Macaca fascicularis: one gene and its partners. The protein of the gene in region 3 interacts with the protein of the main gene of each other region in a biochemical or structural test. Links are inferred from orthologs where the notes say so. Each region holds a gene or a part of one and is shown on either strand. Other genes may lie near its edges.

What was found.
Region 1: of the proteins of PDK1 (region 3) and AKT1, one has a biochemical effect on the other in vitro, tested with the Homo sapiens proteins (3 studies listed by BioGRID and IntAct, with this or other methods). The link is inferred for Macaca fascicularis from reciprocal best matches to the Homo sapiens genes PDK1 and AKT1.
Region 2: the proteins of PDK1 (region 3) and PDHA1 form a complex in vitro, tested with the Homo sapiens proteins (2 studies listed by BioGRID, with this or other methods). The link is inferred for Macaca fascicularis from reciprocal best matches to the Homo sapiens genes PDK1 and PDHA1.

The regions. Positions count from the first base shown.
Region 1 is NC_088381.1:172,972,648-172,976,292, forward strand, and holds part of AKT1 (RAC-alpha serine/threonine-protein kinase), read right to left. Parts: intron 1,566-3,645; coding exon 1,437-1,565; intron 1-1,436. UniProt on the Homo sapiens protein: AKT1 is one of 3 closely related serine/threonine-protein kinases (AKT1, AKT2 and AKT3) called the AKT kinase, and which regulate many processes including metabolism, proliferation, cell survival, growth and angiogenesis.
Region 2 is NC_088395.1:19,218,259-19,221,903, reverse strand, and holds part of PDHA1 (pyruvate dehydrogenase E1 component subunit alpha, somatic form, mitochondrial), read right to left. Parts: intron 2,880-3,645; coding exon 2,753-2,879; intron 1,095-2,752; coding exon 1,003-1,094; intron 1-1,002. UniProt on the Homo sapiens protein: The pyruvate dehydrogenase complex catalyzes the overall conversion of pyruvate to acetyl-CoA and CO(2), and thereby links the glycolytic pathway to the tricarboxylic cycle.
Region 3 is NC_088386.1:68,102,396-68,106,140, reverse strand, and holds the start of PDK1 (pyruvate dehydrogenase (acetyl-transferring) kinase isozyme 1, mitochondrial), read right to left. Parts: upstream 2,728-3,745; 5' UTR 2,597-2,727; coding exon 2,401-2,596; exon of another isoform or gene 2,284-2,400; intron 2,257-2,283; exon of another isoform or gene 1,878-2,256; intron 61-1,877; coding exon 1-60. UniProt on the Homo sapiens protein: Kinase that plays a key role in regulation of glucose and fatty acid metabolism and homeostasis via phosphorylation of the pyruvate dehydrogenase subunits PDHA1 and PDHA2.

The DNA of each region.
Region 1 (3,645 bases), on a different chromosome or scaffold from region 3:
GCCTGTGTCAACACAGGCCAGAGAAGTGGAAACCAGTGTGAAGCCCCGGCACACCCACCTCCCACTTGCTCCTGGATGGTCTGATCTGCCCTAATATGCAATCCCCAGGGCCAGGGTCTCGAGCCCACTGCCCCGGAACCCTTCCCCGGAGAAAAGCTCCTGGCCCCTGCCCAGCTCTGCTCCTTGGCCAGGCACTCCAGACCACCCACCTATGGCCTCATCTGAAGGCCCCAGCCTTGCCGGCTGCTCAGGCACCACCCCAGCTGGTACCCACCCGTGTGCCTCCCCAGAGAGCTCCCCTCTTCCTTCCTTCCTGATGCCTCGGCCTGGCGAGCACACCCACAGCACCCGTCCCCAGCAAGGCCCTGTCCCAGGTGCCACCAGGCACACAGCGAGTATCCAGCCTCTCCCTGATCCCTGAAGCCGCCAGCCCCAACCAAGGAGACACTGGGGAGGGCGTGGGGCAAGTTACGCAGCCCTGCCACATACAGATGGCCCACAACTGGGTCCTACTTAGCTACTCAATCACACCTTTGGCTGCCACGGGCAGAGCTGGGCTCCAGGACAGGGACACAGAAAATGGGGACCATGCTGGGAGGCCCATGTGCCCCCAGCCTCCCACCTAGCAGGGCGCCTGGGTCTCCATGCCAGGGTTCCCGTCTAACATGGGTAGGGTCGCACCTGCCCCCGCTACAGGTAGGAAATAAAGCCACAGCAGGGCGAAGCAGGGAGTGTCACGTCTCTCATCTCTGTGGGATGCTCTGGCCAAGGTCCCCCGCTGGCCTTTCTGCACCCGCCCCTTCGTGGGCAAGGAGGCTTCCAGCCTGCAGCCTCACAGAGGGAAGCAAAGGTTCCACCACGGGGTTTGGGGACCGAGCGCCTGTGCGGGCAGAGGCATGAGCTCTTCCTCGAGTGATGGAGGCTTCAGAGCTAGAGACCCAGGTGGGCTCTATCTGCCCCGCTTGGAGGAGGGGCCCCCGGGTCAGCTGTCCACCCTGAGGCTAGGCTCTGCTACCACTTGTCTGGACCCTCCAGCCTCCAGAGCATGGGCACCAGGGAACTGCTCCACAGTCAGCCAGCATTGGGACTCGGCCCAGAGACCCCCGCCTAGCCAGCCTCAGGACTCAGCTCAGAGACCCCTGCCCAGCCAGCCTCGGCCTCGGGACTCGGCCCAGAGACCCCCGCCTAGCCAGCCTCAGCCTTAGGACTCAGCCTGGAGACCCCCACCCAGTCAGCCTCGGCTTTGGGACTCAGCCTGGAGACCCCTGCCCAGCCAGCCTCGGGACTCAGCCCAGAGACCCCCACCCAACCCGTGCTTGTTGCTTGCTGGCCCAGAACATGGAGGCTCCAGGGCACCCCCATCGGGGGGCCTGGTGGGCAAAGAGGGCTCCAGCCAACCCCAAATCTGAATCCCGAAAGGCTGAGGGGACACTTACGTGCCACAGAGAAGTTGTTGAGGGGGGCCTCACGTTGGTCCACGTCCTGCGGCCGCTCCTTATAGCCAATGAAAGTGCCATCATTCTTGAGGAGGAAGTAGCGTGGTCGCCAGGTCTTGATGTACTCCCCTACGGACGTGCAGGTGGTGAGGGCCATGCACACTCTACCCGTCAGACCCTCGCCAGGCAGCCAGGTAGCAACTGGTGTGCCAGGACAGATGTGCCTGGGACGCCTGAGTCCCGGGGGGCAGGCGCAGTGGGGGAGCTGTTTCTTAGGGCAAGCGACAGAAACAGCCCTGGGTCAGTGGGAAGGCAGACTCGCCCCACCACAGCGCCCCTCTCAGAAGAGCCACCCCTATCTGTGTGTGAAAACGGGCTGGGCCAGCTGGACGCAGGGGATGGAGTACCATTGACAGGAGGCTGGGAAGAGGTCTGGGCCAATCTGCACAGCCTTCCTGGAAGAGGCAGCACCAAACCAGCCAGTCCCCAGCAGGCACCAGCAGCAGCTCCGGCACCAGCTATGGCCACAGGGGCTGCAGGGCTGAGAGCATTCCCCAATCAACCAGGGTTGGCCAGGTGGCGACAGCAGCTGACAGTGGCATGTGTGGGCTGTCCAGCAGGGCCGCCCCCCGACCCCTGCTACCCACCAAGAGGATGGAGCATGGCGTCAGCAGTGAGAGATCAGCATCACTCAGACTGAGGGCCGGGCTTGCGGGACAGGACTGCCCCACTGCCGTGGGACAGCACTCCCTGTCTAGGGGCCTGGAGCACAGTCCTGGGGACTGCCAGTGAAGCCAGACACGGAGGTGGCCCAGCCAGCTGGGCAGGGGCCCCGGGGCACAGAGGCTGTCAAGTCCCCAGGCTGAGACCCACACTCAGGCCCTGCCGTCGTCGGCCCTGCTGTGTTCCACCCATGGGTCACTCAGGTACACGGGAATGTTTTCCCTCAAGTTTTGCAGCATCAGCCATGCGCGGGCGTTCACACTTCAGAATCAGAGCAGCTGTCCTCGGTGATAGCCCAGCAACTACCATTTTTCATACTGACACTTGGAAAAAAATGTTCCACTTACATTTTGCCGAGCAAGGAGTTTGAACAACAGGGAACTTACTAATTAGGCAACTGCTTCATCTGAGGGGCCACTGGGCAGGGGTTGGGGTGGGGGCCAGGGTAAGGGGTTGGGGTCCCTGAGCTCTGGGGCCTGGGTTTTCCTGCCACACTGAGCCCCTGACCGGGACACCTGTAGGGATGTGGGGGACAAGCAATTGTCCCATCACCAGACCACCCACCACCTGGTCCTGCTGGGTCTGCATGGTGAGCCCAGACGTGTCCAGCCCTCCCTGGTGCACAGGGAAGTCCCAGCAGGGCAGCAGCCCCAGGGGAGCTCAGAGGACACAGGGCGTGGGCATCCCAGCGGGCAAGGCATTCTACTTTCCAGGGAGCCACGGGCGAGCTCTTTCAGAGGTGAGTCACCAAGGCTCGACAAATGGCCACCCCCCGGCCAGGTGACCTCTCCCTCCTGCCCCAGTCCCAGCTACCCGATGCCCTTCCCACCAGCACCATGGGGTGTGGTCTCCACAGGACCAGCCCTCACTCTGCCCAAGCCAGGGCTGCTGGGGGGATGCTGGTGGGGGTGGGGACACTCCACCCAGCAGGGCCTGAGTGTGGGGACAGGCTGTTGTCCGGTCTGGGGTGGACCGGGGAGGGGACAGCCACAGTCCACCCAGCAGGGCCTGAGTGTGGGGAGAGGCTGTTGTCTGGTCTGGGGTGGACCGGGGAGGGGACAGCCACAGCCCACTCACAGGTGCCTGACACCCCTGGAGGATGGCCAACACCCAGTTGCCCATCTGGGGAGGAGGGTCTAGGGCCCAGAATCTGCCCCAAGCCCAAGAGCACTCATCAGGGGACCCCACCCACTCCACTGAGCCCTCCATGCCCCTGCCAGTGGGCTGCCGGGCAGGCGTGGTCCGGCCACCCTTGGGCGCCGGCTCCTGTCCCTGGCCTGGGATCTCACACGCACACCCCCGAGTGTGCACAGAGACGCACATACGTGCCACGCAGCTCCACCTCACCTCCCAGGTCCCCTCCCCCAGCCACAGGACCCCTGCAGGTGCAGCAGGCAGGCAGGGGCTCTCAGTGAGAGCAGAGCAGGCTCGGGGGCTGCATACAGCCCACTCCACCCGTCCCCCATCCTAGGCCACCCTGCCGCTC
Region 2 (3,645 bases), on a different chromosome or scaffold from region 3:
AGAGATCGAGACCATCCTGGACAAGATGGTGAAACCCTGCCTCTACTAAAAATACAAAAAATGGCTGGGCACGGTGGCGCTTAACTGTAGTCCCAGCTACTTAGGAGGCTGAGGCAGGAGAATTGCTTGAACCCGGGGGTGGAGGTGCAGTGAGCTGAGATCACACCACTGCTCCAGCCTGGGCGGCTTAGCAAGACTCCATTTCAAAAGAAAAAAGGGGGGAAAAAAAAGTAGGTTTTTTAAAAAAACACATAATAGAATCTTAATATACTAGGAAAAGAAACAGTTGGGATATAATTTTGTGCTGTTAATTCTTCATCATTCACTAACTGATGAGAACAAGGACTCCATAATGAAGTTGACAAGATAAGGCAATGTACTGAAATACAAATAGGAAGGGGAAGGTAGGCTCCACTGCTAGAGGCTCTTGCTTACTTATAAAATAGCAGACACCTAAAAGGAAACATTATAAATCACCATCCAAATCTACTCAACTCATCGCTCAAATGGTAGGATATGAAGCACTAGGTTTTTAAAAGCAAACCAAGCCCCCAAAATACAGTCACGCATCGCTTAACAACAGGGATATATTCTCAGAATTGCATCACTAAGCTATTTTGTCGTGTGAACACCATACTGTAATGCACAAACCTAGAAGGTACAGCCTACTGCACACCTAGGCTGTATGGTAGAGCCTACTGCTCCTAGGCTACAACGCTGCACAGCATGTGACTGTACTGAATCCTGTAGGCAAAATATTTGCGTACCTAAACATAGAAAAGGTAATGTGTTGTGCCACTACAACATCACTAGGTGACAGCAATTTTTCAGCTCTATTATAAGTTTATGGGTCCACCATCATATATGCGACATTGACCAAAGTGTCACTGTGCAGCACATGGCTATACTACTTCACGAAAAGTTGTCTGGGGCTGGGAAAGTTTTTGAAGACAAAGGCCAGGGCCAAATCTAAAGCAGCACACAGTCCTCGTCCTTGACTACCTGCGCTCCCACGATGCCATTGCCCCCGTAGAAGTTCTTGGCATACATGTGCATCGATCCTCCTTTCCCTTTAGCACAACCTCCTTTTCGTCCTGGAAATGGCAGAACATACACATGTGCAGCACAAACCAACTCTACAAAGCAAACCAAACCACACCCCAAGTGGCTCAACCATTAGAACGCAGAGGCCAATTCAGTCATCTAAGTACCTGTCTCTCCAGGCAAACACGTTTCTGCTTGTCCTTTTACTAGTTCCATGTGCTTCAACCTTTCCAGCTTTTCCTACTCTCCAGTCACTTAGTTTCCTTCAGATGTTAGCAAAAGTCCAGATGGTACCGTAGACTTTTTTGGTTTTTTGACCAGTTACCAACATCTTAGGACCTCTCCTCTACTAGTACACTAAATATATTCAATCCTTGAACAGGGTTTGAACTGCACGGGTACACTTATACAGATTTTTTTTTTCAGCCACACATGGATTGAAAATACAATATTCTCAGGATGCAAACCCGAAGATATGGAAGGCTGACTTCAGGACTTGAGTATTTGAGGATTTTGGTATATTCAAGGGTCCTAGAACCAATCCCCTGGATATATGGAGGGACAACCATAGTTCAAGAGTCAAGGAGGGCCGGGTGCAGTGGCTCACGCCTGTAATCCTAACACTTTGGGAGGTCGAAGTGGGTAGATCACCTGAGGTCAAGAGTTCGAGACCAGCCTGGCCAACATGCTGAAACCTGGTCTCTACTAAAAATACAAAAATTAGCCAGCTGTGGTGGTTTGGCACCTATAATCCTAGCTACTCGGGAGGCTGAGACAGGAGAATTGCTTGAACCTGGGGGATGGAGGTTGCAGTGAGCCAAAATCACACTTCACTCCAGCCACTCCAGCCTGGGCAAAAGAGCGAAACTCTGTCTTCAAAACAAAAAAATATATATAAGAAGAAGGGCTGGGCACAGTGGCCCACACCTGTAATCCTAGCATTTTGGGAGGCTGAGGCAGGCCACTGCACTCTAGCCTGGGCAACAAAGCAAGACTGTCTCAAAAACACAAAACAGGCCAGGCGTGGTGGCTCATGCTTGTAATCCCAGCACACTTTGGGAGGCCGAGGCAGATAGATCACCTGAGGTCAGGAGTTGGAGACCAGCCTGGCCAACATGGTGAAACCCCATCTCTACTAAAAATACAAAAATTAGCCGGGTGTGGTGGTGCATGCCTGTAGTCCCAGCTACCTGGGAGGCTAAGGCATGAGAATTGCTTGAACCTGGGAGGTGGCAGTTGCAGTGAGCTGAGATCACACCACTGCATTCCAGCCTGGACAACAGAGTGAGACACAGTCTCAAACAAAACAAAACAAAACAAAAAAAAAAACCAAAACAAAAAAATAGTCAAGGGGGACAAAGAAAAGGGGAATATTAAGAAGATTTCTAGAATTTACATCGCATACCAAGCTTCAACCCAACTTACTTTTTTATGACTGCTAGACTTCTGCTGGCATGCTTGAATGATAACCAAATCTACTGTGATTTTATAGCACTAAACTGTTTTAAACTTTTACCTGAGGGGCCAGAGAACTTCACAAATGGTCAGTTAACTCAAGAGCACAACAGAAGTACCAGAGCACCAAAGGAGAGAGGGTTAAAAAAAGAAACTTAAAACTTTAAATATTAACTCATAAAATAGCATCTTAATGAGAGATATTTAAAAACTTAATCCACTCATTTCCCCTTTCTGTAAATCAACAGCAAACCTGTAAGCTCTGCGAGAATTTCTCGGACGGAAAGGCCCCGGGTGAAGGTAAAGCCATGAGCCCGGTAGGCTGTTATGAGATGGTCTGTGGGGTTGATGCCGGCTTCCAGGCCCACACAGCAAGCTTCCTGTTAGAGGAAGGAGAAACTATGAAGCAATACGATACATGTTTCTAAATAAAAACGTTTCCTAGACCGTAGTGAAATATTTGGGCTAGTAGAACCTGTCATTAATAACCAGAGAAAGTAGCTATTTTCCACCAAAATACAGAGCGGACGGCCCAAGCCAGAAGCAATAAACTGGCAACCCACACATGGGCCACTTCCTTCCTTTCTCCTGTATGGTGACCTAAAAGCAAATCCTACATCAGATGTCAACATTAAAACACTGGGGAATTTCACATGAAAATCCAGACTTCCGCCTTCTCTTGGAGACATGGAAAACAGGAAGCATTACCCCTGATTTCCACATGGCACCAACTGGCTGGAACCAAGTCATGGCATTCCTCTGGGTAGGGCATGCTGGTCCCAGTTCAGCACGAGTCCCTGTCACCATTCTGTTTTGTATACCTAGCCTTCTTCACTCATTTATTCTACCTGGCTGGCCCTTATAGGTATTTGATTCTATAACCCTTGACATAAGCCCACAAAACAAAAAACAAACTAATCCTTTCTCTCCAAATTATATACAGTACAGGTGATCACAGTGCCAGAAAGTTTTAAAATAGTAAAACTCTGAGAACAGAAAACTGGCAATGTTATGTGTGAATGAATTCTTTAGCCTAAGCTTCATAGCAGGTTTTGGCATTCTACTTTTTAATTCTAAAATACTGGCTTCAGCCAGGCACAGTGGCTCACGCCTATAATCCTAGCACCTTGGGAGGCTAAGGTGGGC
Region 3 (3,745 bases):
TGACAGGCAACTCTTGCCGAAGAAACATAAATGAGGTCTTTTCACAAGCATTCACTGATCCTGAAACCAAACATGATGGGTAAAGCAGTAAGTAAAAGCCATAAGGAAACCGAAGGCAAGAGGCAGGGAGAAATGAGAGGCAGTTACCTGGCAAGGCCAGAGGGGTAGAATCACCACGATGGGGCAAGGAATAGAAGGCAAAGGTATCCCTGCCTGTGGGAGGTGAGGGATGAGATAACCCAGTCTCCAGAGTTATGACATTCCAATTACTGACATTCCAATGGCTCTGTACAGCAATTACGATAACCTTGTCTCCCTAACTTGTATCCTTATAGTGATGACCCATTTTAGAAGTGAGGTAAACTGAGCATTTCTGAGCAAGGCTTTATAAAATTAACAGCAGAACCTGGAAAAGTCTAGCCTGTACACCCTGTTGCTGCTATCATTTAGAAAATCTGTTTTTTAACTCTAGTTTTAAAAAGAGTTAATGTCTAAGAAACAGAAACTTTAAGGTGGTCTGAATGCAGTGGTATTTACGACTAATTGATTACGACCAGTTACAGATTTCTTTGTTCCTTCTCCACTCCCACTGTTTCACTTGACTAGCCTTAAAAAAATAAATTAAAAACAGGGGGCCAGGCACAGTGATTCATGCCTATAATCCCAGCACTTTGCGAGGCCGAGGCTTGAGGACTGTTTGAGCGCAGGGGTTCAAGACCAGCCTGGGCAACACAATGAGACCTCGTATTTATAAAAAATAAAAAACAGCTGGGCGTGGTTGTGCTTGCCTGTAATTCTAGCCTTGGGAAGCTCAGGCAGAAAAGTGAGGTTATAGTGACCTATGATAGCACCACTGCACTCCAGCCTGGGTGACAGAGTAAAACCCTGTCTCAATCAAAAAGAAAAGAGTAAAATTTTGATGTTTGCATATGAAGATTCACTGATTCCATATAGAACCACAAATGCTAATTACAGTAAGCAAAGAGTAAGTGGAGTCCAGGTGTGGTGGCTCACACCTATAATCACTTTGGGAGGCCAAGCTGGGAGGATGGCTTGAGCCCAGGAGTTTGAGACCAGCCTGGACAACATAGCGAGACCCCATTTCTAGTTTTAAAAAATACACACACACACACACACACACACGGGAAAAAAGAGTAAGTGCAGAGGAAAGCTTTCAAGCAACAGAAAGCAAAAACCACCACTGCCTGTTAGCACCATCTTCAAGTAGGTCCTATTCAATTGTCTGGTTACTGGAAAGTCTCCTGACCCCTCCACTCCCATATCACGATCCCATATCACTTCCTAAGCAGAATCGTTGTAGAATGTCCTTTGGCAAACAGCTCCACTTAATATTAAACTAAAAGGTCTTGCTATTCCAGTAATGCATTTTAAGCTTACTATTCTTGCTGCTTTAGCAGAGAAAACGTTAGCAAAAACTAGACTGTCAATAGTAGAAATTAAGTTATTAAAGGAAAACAGCTTGTGAAAGTTTCATGGCATACTTATGACCACCACCAAATTCGCCCCTACGTCGAACTAGTGTCATTTTAAAGTAAAAACAAAAACCTAAGGCTTTGACCCAAAAATTATGCGACTATAAACCACAGTTTTAAGACAAAGTTGTCAACCATGCAGGTATCATTCAATGCAGAAGTCACAATGCAGAAGATAACCTTTGTACTCAAATTTTATGAATTCATTAAGGTTTTCCCTTTTCCCCTCATTGCCTTGATAGGTAAGTGGGAAGTAAAAGTTAAAATGCCTAACTATGCAATTCCTTCTGCAATCTGTTTAACAGCTTATCGAGAAAACAAGGATAATCTGGTAAACTTCACAGCATCCTGTCCTCATGCACTCAACACGTGCTCAAGACTTACTTGCTGATGATGAAATGCGCTGTTGGTGCAAACAATTTATGCTACTGGCAAGGAAAACATTCTAAGAAACTCTGGGCCAGTTATAACCTGCCTTGCCTATCATCACGCCATTTCTATGCAATCAGCATATGCAAAACTGGGCATTCATCATCACTGCGCGGAATCCAAAAGCGATCCTCGGGGGTGTCCACGCTCGGCCTCCCACGCGGGCGCGCCTCCTCGGAAGGGGCCTGGCCGAGCGCGCACCTGCACACGTGCGCCGGAAGGCGGGAGGTCATTCCGCGCGGCCCAGCTGGTTTGTTTTCAACAATACGATCAAAGCCACACGCCCACCGTTATTTACGCCGTCAGCCAGCGCCGGCACTTGGAGGAAGGAAGCACCTAAGGCGCTGGGGGCGGAAACACTGAGGAGGAGGGCTGCGCCTCAGGCGAGAGCTGGCCGGCACCGACCGGGCCTGGAGCAGGGGCCGCAGCTCCCCGCCTGGGACCGCGCACAAAGGCCCGAAGTCCGGGCCGCACTCACCGAAGTCCAGGAACTGCTTCATGGAGAGCGGGGACGGTGAGAAGCGCGCGTAGAAGTCCACCTGGCCCGGAACGCCGCGCTCGGGCGCCGGGCCGGAGCCCGAGTCCGAGCTGAAGGAGCGGCTGGGGCCGGCGGCGCGCAGCCCCGGGCCCGGGACGGGCAAGGCAGCTCCGCGAAGCAGCCGCGCCAGCCTCATGCCGAGCCCCGCTAGAGAAGCCAGAGCCCGGGCGCCACGTTTCCCCGCGCCTCTGCCGAGTGGTACGTGAGGGACGTGGCGGGCAGCAGGGGAGGGGAGCGGCTGTCACCGGCGCGGCCCCCACCCCTCTCGCCGGAGCCCGGCCCCCTGCGCCGCTGGGCGGGATGCAGAGCGGGAAGGAGGCGGGGAGAGAAAAGGGGGCGGGCGCTCGCGGGGCCCGCCCCCTCGCCGGATTCCCGCCCAGCCCTGCGGGGAAGTAGATGAGGAGCGCGCGCCAGGCCGCAGCCGGCGAGGTGTGGGGTGCGCGTGGCAGTTGTTCCCGTACATTTCAGGTGACGGGACCGGGGACACTAAGAGGCGAGGCGGTGTGGAGCGTCCCCTTCCCGCGCCCTTTTGAAACAAATCCCACCTTCCTGCTTCCTCTGCCCTCCTAGTCTCGGCCAAAAGGCTCAAGGACAGGGCGGCCCTCCGCTTGCACACACCGCGGTGTCCTGCTGCGAGCGCGTTCTAAAACCGCTTCTCTGTGACGCAAGCCACACATTTCAGGGTCAGAGAGCTTCAGGAGTCCCCGCTTGCCAAACAGTGGTACGTAAATACGAATGCTGAAGAGTGGGACGTGTGGCCCTAAATAGTATCACCGAGACGGCGGCCCCAGGAGGAGAGACGTACTGCCATGTACTGGCTGTGTGCCTTTGAGTTGAGCTCTTTAACCTCTCTGAGCCTCCATCTCTTTACCTGAAAAAGGAGCGTAGTATCTGCCTCAGTTGCTCTGACATGGGTAGTAGAGCTATCTGTGTTAGCACAATGCCGGGGACATACCAGATAATAAATGGGATTTATTTTTACCATTATTGCTTTTTAAAATTATGTCCTTATTAAGATTTTATCAGAACCACTTACCTGTGTTTTCCCTGAAGCACATTTTACCAAAAGTTTGAGAGAAAACAACAGTTTTTGGCCGTTTTGTAACTATTTGACGTATTCGAGTATCAGCAGTTCTTCTCCCACACTGACTGTAGGTTTTAGAAAGTGTAACGGGTACATAGTTTTGTGAACCCCGAAAGTAAGAGACAAGTCTCGATTAATGTATAAAGTTTATCTTGGCAAAGTTGAGAACACGTCCGTCTCTATATGTAAGAAGCAGACAAC